2 linked regions of the Lepisosteus oculatus genome follow. The protein of the gene in region 1 purifies or fractionates together with the protein of each later gene. This does not show direct contact. Links are inferred from orthologs where the notes say so. Each region holds a gene or a part of one and is shown in the gene's direction. Other genes may lie near its edges.

Region 1 (7,515 bases):
AGGAGTGATCTCCAAAGCTCAGCAAGACACACCTGGTTTTGAAAAGTGGCTGATGCAGTGCAATGGACAGTTGTCTGTGAAGTCAGTTTGTATAAAAGTTCTTATAGGTTTCCGTTGACGTTTGTTTTGACACAGTGGTCAAACAGCATTGTTTTCTGCCTCACCATCCCTCTGTTTGCTTGGTTGCACTCTCGGAATGATATGATGTCACTCTCGGAATGATGTGATGTCACTCTCGGAATGATGTCATGTCACTCTCAGAATGATGTCGGTGCCCTTGCCTGCATTCTAAACTGCCTTGATTACAGTTTACTTGCAGTAAACTCTCATATCCTGTGTGATGTGTGGTAACCTTCTAGGTCTGTTGCTGGGAGTCAATCAGCACAGTATGCTTTTTTGAGTTGAAGTTTTTAACTTTTCTTCCTTTGTGTTTTAATTTTCCCACTGAAGCCCCAGGTCTCTAACCCCACCGCCCCCATTCCCTCGTCTGTTGACTTTGCTGAATTGCTAGTCCTGTGTCAATCAGGCTCGGAGGAGACGCGGGCTCCCCACTTAAAGTTTTCATCTGCGGCCCGGTGCATAGCTGGAGCAGCTGCCAGATTGTTCCCACTCATTCAGTCACTGTGAGCTGGAACAATTAGCCCCAGCTCAGGGCTCGAGTCCTCGTCTAGAGACCCCAGATGGATGGCCAGAGTCTGGTTGTACGGTGAATGTGATCCATTTCTTTATTTTTTCGCTTGTCTTGTGTTCTTGGCGTCTCTTTCACACTTTGCGCTCTGCTGGCTGAGTTTTGTCTTTGTTAGACTCGGCTAGCAGTGTGGGCTGTGGGCACTTAGCTGGAAGGCTGTGGGCTGGTGTCCGCGCTGTGGGTACTGTGGTTGTACTCTTGAGATTTGGCATGAGTACAGCTGTCAGCCTAGCCATTGACTAGCATCCCATCGAGGGAGGGACCACTTCTGTCAGTCCACTTAACGCTGCACACACTGACTTCAGCTCCGGTCTGGTGAGCTGATGCAGGAACATGATGTCTCTCCTCAAAAGATTTGTTGCAGGCCATTTAGTGAAATGTGAGTACTTGTGTGCCTTTTAGAAGAAGGCTTCCTCCAAAAGCTCTTGAATGCGTTGTATGAGCTCAAGAAGGACACCCCATTTTAGGCTTGTTGCTTTCACTTTTTTCAGTCTTGATGCTTTTGCTGACGCAAATCTTGATGCAGCCTCTTGTGCTCGCTGTTGCCAAACGCACGACCCCCTAAACAGGTTGTGCTGCTGGCAGCACTCGTCAGGATTACAGGGACTCTCTGGAAGGAGACCCTGCTCTGCTCACAGTGCGGCTCATGCAGGCGTCCGTGTAGCTGCGCGTGGTGCTCCAGGTCAGAGGCGCTGGAGGCCTGCGGTCCCCCTCGCCTCTGCTCCCTTGACTTCCTTCCTTATCTCCAGCACATTGAATGGCCACTGACGTCTGGTCCCGTTACTAAAAGCCATGCAGCTTCCCGAATCCCCTTCATCCGAGTGGAAGAAGATTGAGTGGCTTTTTCTCATCTAACTGTCAATATTTGCTCACGCTTGGTGCTTCTGTTGCCCTTTTGGCTTTTCCCAGTGTTTTCTTACAGTAAACAGCAGCCCATCCGCCCTCCTGCTCCTGTTAATGGACGTACAACATCTGTCAGCATTCCTGAGGTGGATGGTCCATACGACAGCGTATGGCTTTTTCTCACCATGGTTTCCCTTGGGAGCAATTATTGTGGAGACAACAGCAAAGAATGGTATGATGATGGTAAACCCATTGGACTACAGCAAATGTCATGCAATCTTGCCCCAGTAAAACCCTTAGAAGGAGCATGCCTTTCTTGAATTGCAATTAAATTATTCCTTTCCAAAATATATTTGATGCTTGCATGGGGTAGACTCATATTATTATTCGGATCTAAGATTAGAGATGTCAGACTTTTTTCAGGGGGATCGCTCTTTAAATGTGGGATCCATTCCTCCCCTTGTCCGGGAGGACGAAGGGCGAATGGAGGTTCTGACACACTTCTCACACACCCGACTGCATGATTGGCCATAAGGCCCTGCTTGAGCTGCGGGGTGATTAGTCAATCAGGATTTTGACAGCTCCACAGTGTGGGTGTGCGTGTGGGCGAGGTGTGCTGGTGAGATTCGAGGAAGAAGTTTCATGGGAACTTTCTGTGCAAATGTTGATCCTAAGATCTTTTAGAAATGAATTCTGTAGTATAAGATTTTGCATCCATTGCTTTCCAACTTACGGTTTCTGCAGGCAGGAGATAGCTGAACTAGGATTGCCGGAGTCTGAACCCTTTAGCCAAAGAGCTGTGGAAGTGTGGAACAAGCTTCCCAACCAGGATACTGAAGCCAAAACCCTGGCTTATTTAGGGAAATTCTGGGATCAATTACCTGTTTAACAACCTAACAGGCTAGATGGTCTACTGTGCTTTGTAACCTTTCTTATGTTCTGATGTTATTAAAATGAGAGATTTTTTTTTCCTATTAGTCTTTGAGACTAATGCAAGACTAATGTCAGTGCAAGCAATTCATTTTATACAGATCTTTTTCTGCTTGAGGTGTCTGTAGTAGCAGGAATCCTGTTTGTGGCTGTGTGTGAGTCAGTGGTTATCCTGTTCATGCCATTTAAATCGAATGATCTCCCCTTATTCAAACAAAAGCCCTTCCTCTCACTTTCTTTGTAACGTCACGTTCAGACGACGTGATTTGGGGAGTTTGGGTAGGATAATTTCGGACTTGACATAATACAGATTTGCAGTGAATAACTGCAGCTACAAGACTACGAGAGACTTGACTTACTTTTTAGGCCCTGCGGCCGTGCTCTGCATACCGATCACTGACTTAGTGCCACTATTGTTCCCTACTCTGGCACAGTGCAGCTGTCCCTGCGGGATTCTGCACAGGTGTGGGTAGGGAATGGAAGAGCTGTGGGGCTCTTTCCTGAGGGCACTTCACCCTCCTGTGCTCTGGTCACATGACAGGAAGAGCCAGAGAGGGGCACACCGAGCAACTCAGCGGGCAGAACAAAATAAAACAAAGGAGCCTTAAGAGAGTCCTGTGTTCAGCTTCACTGTGCTGTATCAGAGCAGACTTACAACCAGCAGCTGTATCACCCTGCAGCTCATAGCTTGCAGTCCATGGAAGCTCAGCAAGTGTGAGCCTGGTCAGTACCTGGAGGGGAGACGTCCTGGGAAAGCTAAGGCTGCTGCTGGAAGAGGTGTTAGTGGGACCAGTAGGGGGTGCTCACCCTGCAGCCAGTGTGGGGTCCAAATGTTCCAGGATAGTGATGGGGATACTATAGTGTAGTAAAGGCACCATCCAGACATAAAACTGAAGTTCTGATTCTCCAGGGTTATTAAGAATACCAGTGCATTTCTCAAAAAGAGTTTTACCCTTGCGTGTTAGGGGTGTTCCCTACCAATAATGCCCATCTATGAACTGGCTTCGCTGATCCCCACTAAGAGCTGGTGTGTTGTGAGAGTACTGGCGCACTATGGCCACTGTCGCATCATCCAGGTGGGGCTGCACACTGGTGGAGGGGAGTCCCCATTACCTGTAGAGTGCTTGGAGTGGAGAAAAGCACTATATAAATGTAAGGAATTATTATTACTAGTAGTAGTGACAAAGCACGGGGAGGACTCCTAAACTACGATTTGGACATGGGGCTGCTGTGACAGACCAGAGGGAATGTTTGACGAGTTTAGCGAAACCATGGGACAGCTGCAAAACGGACAAGCTGGAGCTTCAGGTGGATTCACTTGTGCTGTCGGCACTTGGGGTTTGTTTCAGCGGTTTCTTTCTCATGCGTTTTCTTTCCCCAGCTGGTCAGGGCTGCCAGGAAGTACGCGAGGGGAAGGAAATGTGTGTGGCACCAAGCTGAATGAGCTCAGTGCAGAAACACGTTGTGTCACATGGATTTCATTCCCCATCCACCAGGCGATTTTAGTTTTGAGAGATTCAACGCAGGCACTGGGATCAATTCTGGACTGAGAGGAGTCTGCATGTTCTCCTCTGTTCACAGAGCTCTTATCCCATGTCCCTCTTCAGTTTCTGAAGACAAGTTGGCTGTGTTAACTGGCATCTTTAATTTTGCCCAGCGCTGGACAGGCATTCGGTCGTCTGCCCTGTGCTTCCACAGTTGGCTCTGAAGTGCTGCACCTAAATGGTGAATGAGGTGGGTCCCATCCTGTATGTACAGTGCTTTGGGCTTCTTCGGTATGATGAAATGTGCTATTAAGAAAATGCTTAATCTATAGTACATACTGAAAACGCCAGACCGACAGACATGGGGCGCGCAATGACTCCCACGCAACAGCCCCTCCCCTTTCGACCGCTGTGCATGCTGGGTCAAGCCGAACATGGCGGCGCCCTTGTGTTTGTGCTGAGATAGTGTCTCTCTGGAGAAACAGACGCGAATTCAGGCTCAGTGCTGTATCAACAGCGAGAGGAAGCGCCGACGGGGATATAAACGGCAGTACGAGGCAGCATATTCGGCTGTGACGTCCCTGGTTGGAGCCGGTCAGACCTTGGCGAGGCTCAGGCGGCGAGTCCGTGCGAGAATGGGCCTCTCTTTCAGCCCCTAGCGAGGAGTGGACGAAAGGAGCCCTCGAAAATACTGCCTGGGGACGGAGAGCGGGGGCCTGGGACACGGCAGCAGAGACACCTCGCCAAACCTGTTGAGTTTGCAGAGGAATTTGATGCGGGATTTTTGCCTTTCGGCTCTGCCTCTGTTTTGGGAGAAGGACGCCTAATTTTCCCTTTCCCGTGTGAGGGATTGCGGGGAGATAAGGTCCGTGTCATCTGCGAACGAGATCATCCCCATTTAAAGGGCTTCTTGTTTTCCTTACTGGCAGATTTCTCTCATGTGTCTGTTTTATTGTTTTACAAGAAGGAAATGACAATCTTGCTTAGTTGTGTTTATTTCGGATCTTGGTGCGCGCGGTAGTGTTAGGTGGTAAGACCGGTAGAAATAAGTATTGTTGCTGTAGTTTTTAAAGACTACGAATATCTCCCTTCCCCTATCAGATCGTTACACATTCTTAATTGTACGCGTGTGTTTGTGTGTTTGGGGGAGGGGGGGGTGATCATGTGTACTTCCTTCACTGAACTGAAGCCCGAACGGGTGGCTGGCTGTTCAGGTAGTGATACTTGCGTGGCGATGAAGCCGATCACGACATTCCACGCATGTCGGTACACAACCGCAGCCGATTCCGCGTTGTGTATTTGTTGACCCAGTGACATTGTCTGATCTCCACCGTGCACAACACACACACATCCTTTAAGACTCTCAGGGCTGTCCGGTCCTGGTCATGGAGGGACACCCGTGTCTGTGGGGTTTCCTTCCAGCCCAGCTCTGGTCAAGCTAAACAGTACTTACTGGTGCAAATGAGAGCCTTTACCTTCATGGATAGTTGTGTCACTTTTGAGAGTCATCATAACTGACCAGGGATGCAAAATAAAGCTGCAACCCAAGGTGGGTCTTGCCAGTGATCACTTGTCTGGCAGGCAGAAAAGCTTTCCTTCATGGTTCTCTCAGGCTCCAGGTCAGGAGTTCACCTGGGTCTTTATCAGCCTCCTCTGCGTCCATAACTAGTGGCTGTTCTAGTAGACAAGAGTGGATCTACTGATTCGCTGACCGGCTGCGGTCTCGATGCTGTGATGGGGTTGTGCTCTGAGGCGGCCGCTGGTCTTTGCAGGGCCCTGATGAGAATGGACTCGGAGCTGCTTCACTCTCCCGCCGTGGGCCTCGGGGAGGAGGAGGAAGCCGACATGACGGACTGGAACCTGCCGCTGGCCTTCATGAAGAAGCGGCACTGCGAGAAGATCGAGGGCTCCAAGGCGCTGGCCCAGAGCTGGAGGATGAAGGACAGGGTGAGCGCGCGCGCCTGCCTTCGCGATCGCCGCCGCCGTGGCGGGAATGCCAAACGCTCACAGGGCTGACGAGCGTCTTGTCCAAAGCAGTGACCCGTCTGCTTCCTGCTTGCGTTCAGCCCAGCAACTCGACATGACTGTGTTGTGAGTGAGATTTGAAGGTACTGCTTCTAGTCTTGTGCACTCCCATGTTAGTGAGCACATTCGAGCTGTTTGAAATCTAGGGGTAGGCACCAAGAATTTTTCGTTCCCTGTCCCTTTTGACCTGAAAGCACAGCACCGAAATATGTCGTCATCTGCATTCTACAAGTGCAGACAGACGTACTCTTTTAATGGCAGCAAATCGGATACGTGTCCTTGTTTTCTGGGCATTACTGCTGTTTCTTGCGCTGGGAGGCATTCAGTTTTCGTTCTGAGGCATGAGAGGTGTGTTTCAGTTGTGGGAGATCGGAGCAAGTGGGTTTTTAAGGCCCGTGCGCATGCTCATAAACAATTGTGTGTACCTGTGGAGAAAGAAGGTTGTGTCGAGCAGTTGTGAGGTGGAATTGGGTCTTTGCATGAGGCTGTCCCATGCACGTGATTTATACCTGTTGGTTTTTAATCAGCGTTGCACATTTTCTTGCATGTCTACTGCTCTGTGAATTGGCCACTCTTCTTGCGCACGTTTCTTTTTTTTTTATATGGGAGAGTTGGTTACTTTGTGATGTGTCCTTTACAGTTTACTCTTAACTTACTGTAGGGTTAAGGATTTTGAGTAGCGTCTAGTCAAATACGCATACTGTCAGGTTTTACCCTAAACCTTTATGGAAAAAAAACCTCTTATGGTAATTCAGAATATTAAATATAAGTATAAAAATGCTAAATAAAAGTAAATACAAGTAAAATGACTGTATAGGCTCACTAACTACCTCTTGTAGGTGTGCTTGGTTAATTTTTCAGAGAATAAAGCATTTTTAAGAGTATTTTTTATTTTCCAGAGCAGGTCGGATAAAGCTGAGACTGCTTAAATTGAGTCGCCAGTGTTCCGTTCACTGTAAGGAGAGCTGTGGTGTACAGCTTTGAGCTGGGATTTGAGAGCTAGGCAGGCTCAGTCTGCACCACTGGTTGTTTACCCGTTGAAGGGCTGGGGTTCTTTTTATCTAGAATGACAGGGTGATCTTTTAAACCTTTTCAGATTAAATATTAAATGTAACATTTGTTATCTAACTTTCAAAAAAATCCAAATAATTCTCCAAAACAACCAGCAATAACAGAATAACCATGGCAGTGGCACCACTGACCAGATGTGGATCTTTAAGTTTTTTAGTTACATTCAAACAAATCACTCAGCAGGCTTAGAAAATCGGTTACAAGCAGATAACCTTTGCAAGCCAAACTGGGCTCTGCCTTGTGTGATAAGTGAAATCAGATTCAAGTGTTTTTTTCTTTTAAAACATGATTCATCCTGTTTGTATTGAAGTCATTTATTAACCTTGTTTTTTTACTACACAGCATCCTTGTCTAAATATGATGCGAGCTGGAAGGGAGTAGGGGGCTAAGGGCATTTCTGCTTTGAGCTGTCTTCGGGATTTAAAATAAGAGAGGCAGCCTTATTTTTAATATAATGCTGCAAAATGTTGAATC
Region 2 (7,679 bases), on another chromosome or scaffold:
CAACTTAGGCTTTCTCACAAGGCCTCCTCACACAGACCCGATCCATATACTTTATATCACAGCACAACATTCCCAGGAGCTTGGAATCCACCCTCCCAGTTTTCCCATTACCTATAATGAAGTGGCTTTTAATCAACAATGGTGTCTCTCTAATGCACATAGATTTTAACGAAAGAGAACAAGAATCGAAGCTGCAGATCACATGTACTCTACACGTCCTGGACTATTCTCTTTGGGTTGGCCCGTTTCCCCTAACCCACCTCATCAGCACCGATGTGCAGCCACCGCAGCCCGGGATGGCAGTCCAGAACCTGCGACAGCATGGCCTGGACCAGCGGCTGCGAGCCAGGGGCGTGGGGGTTCAAGCTGTTGGGGAACCCTGGCACCTCCCTCAGGTTCGAGAACTTCTCGTGCTTCAGAGCAAACTGTGCAGACAAGATCAGAGACACTTCTGAAGCAGGCCACAGCTCGCTTGAGCCTGGGGAGAAGCAGTTTACATCTCCCAAATCCCTGATGGTGGCACACCAGGAATTCACTAAAATGATCAAGATGCCAAAAAGTCTCTGAAGTGGGACATGTATATATCTCACTTATCCAGCATCACAATATCATCACAAGCACATTGTGAGAGGTGTTGCTGGGGTCTGTTAATTAAGCCTTCAACAAGAGTTACTCTAAGATGCCATAATGCGGACTTGCTTTAGCAACCCCAGTAACTTAATGCTACATACATAAACGACAGGAACAACACCCACAAACAGGATAAAGCAGATCAATGTCTCCTGCATATCGAAGGACAGAACTAAGAGCAAGACAGAGCAGGACAATATGTAATAACATATCAAAGAACAAGACAAGCACTCAGATTGTGAAACAAACTTCTTTCTGACTGTATATAAGAGCTGGAAAAACCCTTGCAGTGTGTCTGTTCTGTGGGGCAGACCCAGCGTGCATTGTGTACTTATTGACAGTCTTGTGCAAACAGAATCTGCACAAGACTGTGTCCTGCTCCTCCTCTGCTCCTCTGATGAAGAATTTCCCACAGCAGTCTTCATATACACTGCATTCAGTTCACTGCAATCAGATTCCTGGGTAGAAATATGGTTTTATGTTCCTGCATGTGATTGTATGCATTATTTGCATGCCTGAGCTTTAAACACAAGCTCTAGAAAACAGTTGTCTAACTGCCCAGCTCTGCAGTCTGTCCCACTACTGGATTTTGACACAACCAGGGCGTTTTCTTCACTCAATCACGTGTTTAGAGCTGCACTGGGACAGAAAGTGGGGAAGTTCAGATGCCCTGTTTTAGAGATGTGTCCTATCGCATGACTCTCTGGGTCAATGTATCTCCCTCACCTCCAGGTGTCCAAACACTTGAACCAGGGGGATGATCTCCAGCTTACTGAGCTCTGCCAGGTGCCTGATCTTCTGAATGTCCTCCACACTACAGCAATGAGAGAACAATAGGACAGTTACCCTGTGGGAACACTTGAGCTTCCTGTAACAGAAGAAGCTACACAGAGAAATATAGAAGTAACTCCATGGGCCACTCTCTCAAGCACAGCTCTCTGATTTGCAAAGCTAAAAGCCTAATTTTAACATGCAGCTGATCCAAAGAGTTCTCAATGCATGGAGCAAGCTGATGGGAACCATGAGTATCATGCAACTCTAAAGCCCAGTGAAATGAATTAGAAACTGAAAGATGTTTTGCAGATAATTGAGACTGAACATGTTCTTGGCAGTGAGTTGTGTGCAGTTTCCTGTACCCAGCTGCCCAGCAGCACTCACCTATAGGCATGGGGCGATCTGAGGATCTGAAGGTCACCCTCATACGGAAACATATCCTCATATTCCAGCAAAATCCCATTGGCCCCAAGAGAAGACAACAATGGGAATACCTGGGAGAAAACACAACAATGAGGCTATAAGCATATGTGGTTTCAAGCTCTAAGAAGCAAATTCGGATCGCGGGAGCAGTCCAAAACTGCAGGTACACTTCAAAGCAGGTGCAGGTGCAGCCTTTATGCATCACAGTCTCCTTCTGCTGAAATGCTTTCATGCATTTCTTTTTTTCTGGCAATGTGTTTTTAGCCAGCTATACTGCTACAGTTGGGAATAATAAGCAGGCTTGACCATCTTACAGCTCTAAAGCCATATGTGGCTCTTTGTTTTAAGTGAGTCTGAATGCTGCCACAGTACCATAAACTCTTCATTAAGAAGACTTACTCTAACCCAAAGCACCATACGCCCCTCCAGCCCTGCTCACCTGCTCCAAATAGGTGAGTTTAGGGGCAGCACCTTTGAGATCAAAGTGCACAACCCTCAGTGGAGTCTGGTTAGTGTCTTGCCGAGGGGTGACTTTGGGTTTTTTCGGGGAGTCCTGTGCCTCTCCTCCCTGAGACTTCTGAGGCTCCTGTGACTGGGATGTCTGCTGACGAGCCCACACCAGAGCCTCCTTCTTCTGCGGAGTCTGCTTTTCGTTCAAGACCGCCCCTCCGCCAATCTCTCTGTGCCCCCAGAACACAGCAGGGTCAGGCACAGGCAGCTTAGAGCTTGAACACAAACACACGACAAGAGAGCGACAGAGCAGAGACAGAGCTCTGGTCAGGAGACGGGCTGATTGTTGTGGCAATCTGCATCTGTACTACAATTAAGCCGCTTAAGTGAAATATTGTCTTGGCAAACTGATGTGTTTTGGAATGTGAAAGGAAAACAGAGGAAACCCATACGAACACAGGAAGAACATGCAAACTCCACACAGATATCGCCCCAGGAATTGAACCCAGGGCCCCAGAGCTGTGAGGCAGCAATGCTATTCACTGGCCCACTGAGCTGCCTCAGGTTACACTAGTACCTAGAAATTCCAATTGAGGCACTAAACTGAGATGAAGGTAGAAGAACAAGAAAAACAAGCCCAAGAATGTTAACACAAAACCAAAAAAAAACACTCAAGCAGGCAGTATGCAGAAAGGAAAAACATGACTGTTCTTTTCCTGCTACAGACGTCTTGATCCAATGGTACCATAGGGCTTTTGTTTCATGTGTCAATAGAATAGATATGATAACATGCAACTAAAATAAAATACAAATTCATCAACAAAATACACAGTTCACACCACTTGCTTACTTTACACAAAATCAGACGCAACCTGTAAACGCCCACTGAAGCGATTACATAAAGAATGCAGACAGTGTTAGAGCCTGTTTTTGCTCTACAGATCATTCTTTATGAAAAGGACCTCTCTATGATTGACAGTACCATACCAACACTGCCCAGAACCACTGGATTTCGAAACTGCCACTGGCTGTAAACTTAAGATGCAAATCCTACATCTCCTGACCGACTTTTACATTAGGCTGCAGCTTTAGCACAGTAGTGGTGAGATTTAGCTGGAACGTCTAGATTATGTTCATGGGATAAAGAAATAAGAGTGAGCTCCAGGGAAGAAGTGAAAATTAGAACAAATGTTAAGCGCATCACACAAACATATTGGGACTTTCTTGTTGGATGCCTGGTCATTCCCATTGGGAATGTAATATTCAAGGTCAGGAGTGAACTAATACCCAAAGAGCAGCTCTGCCTCTCTGCTGTTTAACACCCCACACCAGGCTGCCCTGTCTGTCTCTCAAAGGAATCCTACTCACTTGGACCTCAGGAGGAACCTAACGGCAGTCAGGACCACGACAGACAGCACCACCAGTCTCAAGACCGCCGGCTTCCTCATGAAGTGGGTGTTCATTTCTGCAGCTCAGTGCTAAAACGTAGACAACAAGGACAACGCATTAACAGCACGGTGCTCTATCAGAAGAGAGAGGCAAAGAAGAGACCGACTGAGCCATTCTTCCTCACAACAAAAAATGTCTAAATTCGACAGAGGAGGGATGGGCAGTTCTGGTCTGCAGGGTTTAATTCTGACTCATCTCTTCACAAGCTCATTATTGGCTATGGGACCAGTTGAACAGCTTCTCCCAGCTGTTTCTCAGTGCGCCTGCTTTGAATTTCAATTAGAATTAGCAAACCTGTAGGCACACTGACCCTCCAGGGCTAGGACTGTTCACCCCTGCTATGGATTTCCAAAAAGCACAGTAAATCATCACCCAGGCACTTACCTACTGACACTCCATCAAGCAAAATGCTCCTAGTAAGTAAATATACTTGAGTAAATATGCCTTGGTAAAGCACTGATAAGCTCTTAACAGGGACAGGCATTGGCTGCTGTTGTGCGCTGAATTCTGGATGACCTACGTCCTGTACGCCCAGGACATACCATATCGACAAGAGGTGGATTCCATAAGATCACATAAAGGTTTAGGCAAAACCTTGTTAAATGTTAAGCAACTTGTGAATGATAGGACTTCAGCTGCGTTGCAACATAAAAACCTCTTTGACATTTACTCTTAATAGTCCCCGAAGGACAAAAAGTTATTTGCAGTCATTAATCGCTATCAAAAGCTTAGTGGAAAGTTCAATTAAGGCGCTCAAAATGGGCTGAAGAAATGATTTTCTCCTGCAGAATACCCAAATTACAAGGGACAGGGGCGATGCAAATCTTGAGATTTTACAATAGTCTCTACAGGCAACCACTGCTCCCTGAAAAAACAGAGGGCAAAGGTTAAGCACAACCTATAGCTACATAAATATTTGCCTTAACGTCATTTAAAATCACGGTGTGTAGAAAACTACTATAACAATGGTGCAGTGAGTTTAAGTTTAAGTGGAGCAGATTTAGTGTACACAAACGTTGTTTTCCATCCACCCTGTGTGTCAACAACACTCCCACGGGCAACTGCAGCGCTACAGGTACTGTGATTTGGTTTACCATTAAAATAACACTAAAATAAAACCCCGACCCTTCCTTCCTTAACCACGGTAAAACTATCCCTCCACAAATGAATAACGATGCAGGGTCTGATCAAATTCACGTACCGAAATTGTTTTTTGTTTTTGTTTTACTAAACGCAATGGTGCTTTAGAAATATATATTGTAACGCACTTACACAGTGCCTGTCGGCCGTAAGCGTTACAATATATATAATGTGCAGTACACATCGTATTCAATAGTCGATGAGCGCTGCTCGGTTGCTATTTAGCGCAGTAAGAAAACAGGCCCCTTGCAAGAATAAAACGAGAAAAATGCACCTGCTGCATGTTAGGCTGGTGCCATCTAACATACCAGGCTGAATCAGTATATTACACCTTACTTCGCTCTGGATAATAATTGTATAGCAGGAACTTCAGCACAGTACGTACCTTACCTAAGAGATACAGGCGATCTTACCGTCACCCCTCTGCGTGCTGCGGTGAAATTTAACCAAAAAAACAATTCTAATGGCAAATGATTTTCAGAAATAAATGCACAAGGTCAGGGAGTAACATAAGAAGCGCTTTCTCGTTTCGTTACTTCCGTATGTTTCGTTATCAGTAGTTAGGCTCAGAGTCAGTGTGATCGCTACAGTATGTCGTTAATTATACATTTCCCCACGGTGCGCTGTCACACTTGCTGACTGCGCGCAGCACTACACAGTATTAGTAAAAACTAGTTTGGCACATTATTTTGATGTTGGCTCGTTTTAAACTACGTTTTAAACCACCAAGGAACGATTTCAGGTTGAGGATCCAAAAATAGTTAACCGTCAAGTCCAAAAACGGACATGACAAATAAATATATTAAGGTCAGATTATTATTTTTTTACCATTTCTTTCACAAAATAATTTCCCTCTGGTCGTAGGCGAAATCAATTGCTAACAAAATACAGAACATTTGAAACAGATCTTTCAACTGAAATACATTTTTATGAAATTTCCCTGCAAGTAAAAAATAGTATACTGTGGTTTTGATTTCAATTGCTTTATCCGTTTTATATATGTATTTATTTGTCTATATTAGCCATCCCTTAGAGCGTAATTAGAATACTTAGTATATGGACCATAGTGGTCGGAACTTACAGTCTAAATCCTTGTTGCAGTGGGGAACATTACAGAGAGGAATTCAAAACAACTGGGGTTGGTGTTAAGTGATATTTGCTTTACAAAATAAATATCTATATTACTAGTGTTATTTGGGAGTCGGCACATCTGTGTAAGTGTTATATACTTTTAATTCTACAAAGTTTTAAATTGTTTTAGTTCTTTTAAGTGTTTTAAAGCATCATAATTGTGTATCGTAGACTGTATGCTACTGCTACTGTATTTGTTTATAGAGTAGGTGGATCTTTCATAAATGTTTTGTGTATAAATAAATCAGATTGTTTTTTATAACGATTGCTATTTTATTAGGAATAGGCTACTAACAAAAATAATATTTGTACTGATCCATGAAGGGTGAAGAGCTCCGGTCTTATTGGAACATGAATGTAAACCAAGGTACCGTCGGCAGCGACCCGGTTATCCTGGCCACAGCCGGCTACGACCACACGGTGCGGTTCTGGCAGGCCCACAGCGGCATCTGTACACGAACCGTCCAGCACCAGGACTCGGTATCCTTAAATAGGCACCGGATGGGGCAGCTTGTAACGTCTGCTATACAAGCTGAATGTCTTGAGTAGAGTTGAGCACAGTGTTAAGACCAGTACTTCACACTGCGGCTAATGCCCAGTCTCTGATCAAAGACGGAAGATAAATTAAGAAATACTGGATTAGATTAGATCTCTTAATTTTATTTTTAATGTTGTATCTGGCTATGATTTGGCTTGAGCACCTTATCAGATATTTCTGAACATTGATGCCATCAAACAGTGGCAGTGAGTAACTTAGTAGCTCCAGTGTCTTGAGTTCCAATCCCTTTCTGTTTGTGTGGCGTTTGCATGGTCCCATGTCTTTGTGGGTTTACTCGTGGTGCTCCTATTAACTGCTCTGGCAGTCCAAGGAATCAGGACTACACCCTGTGCCTGTAGGTGTAGGCACACTGCGGTCCTCTGAGGATAAAGCACTCATTGAAAATGCATGTGCGAATGGATGGACAGCACAGTCCACTTCTGTACAGCTGGTCATCAACAGTAATGTGCCGTTGATGGCGTCTAATCAATGTACAGGTAGTGATCATGTGTAAAATGTGCTCTGCTTAATGATTAGTAGGGCACAGGGGGCTGCCTAATTATTTTTGTTCTGGTTCCTGAACCTGGCTGCTCAGCAGGTGAATGCCCTGGAGGTGACCCCTGAACGCAGCATGATTGCTGCAGCAGGTGAGTACCTTACCCTCTTGTGTCTAATCAATACCAGAACCCCAATCTGCAGTTTTCTGCAGGACCCCTGATGGCCAGGTTCCATGGTGTGGCAGGATAGACTGTTCCCAGCTCTTAATGCAATAAAGTATCTCTTTTCATTCCTGCTACCATTTCCATTCTCATTCCATTATTGAGCCTAATGAAGTCCCATGGGCAAAGTTGGCGGTATCATCAACTCTCCTCCATGCTCATGACACGTCTCCTGTGTCTGTCCACTTTTGTGAACACAGATGTGCCTAATTCCAGAGTTTTTGAATTTTATTAGACCAGTAGTTCTCAAAACCTTTTGGACCAAGCACCACCCCTGATCAAACCAAACCATCCAAGTACCACCTACAAGTCATCTTCTCATAGGAACCCCAGAAATTCTCAATGACCAACATGTGCGAGCACGCACACACTCACATACACATATAATAAATATAATAATAATAATCAACTTTATTTGTTATAGC

Evidence for each region. The genes of interacting proteins can lie anywhere in the genome.
Region 2: the proteins of rptor (region 1) and mlst8 purify together in Homo sapiens (affinity purification with western blotting; 15 studies listed by BioGRID and IntAct, with this or other methods). This does not show direct contact. The link is inferred for Lepisosteus oculatus from reciprocal best matches to the Homo sapiens genes RPTOR and MLST8.

Annotation. Positions count from the first base shown.
Region 1 is NC_090704.1:45,061,778-45,069,292, forward strand, and holds the start of rptor (regulatory-associated protein of mTOR), read left to right. Parts: upstream 1-4,367; 5' UTR 4,368-4,810; intron 4,811-5,717; 5' UTR 5,718-5,724; coding exon 5,725-5,892; intron 5,893-7,515. UniProt on the Homo sapiens protein: Component of the mechanistic target of rapamycin complex 1 (mTORC1), an evolutionarily conserved central nutrient sensor that stimulates anabolic reactions and macromolecule biosynthesis to promote cellular biomass generation and growth.
Region 2 is NC_090714.1:11,362,795-11,370,473, forward strand, and holds the start of mlst8 (target of rapamycin complex subunit lst8), read left to right. Parts: upstream 1-4,660; 5' UTR 4,661-4,801; intron 4,802-5,251; exon of another isoform or gene 5,252-5,500; intron 5,501-5,949; exon of another isoform or gene 5,950-6,080; intron 6,081-6,321; 5' UTR 6,322-6,348; coding exon 6,349-6,477; intron 6,478-7,130; coding exon 7,131-7,182; intron 7,183-7,679. Other genes in the region: hexosaminidase D, read right to left, coding at 261-425, 1,357-1,444, 1,789-1,898, 2,267-2,552, 3,646-3,740.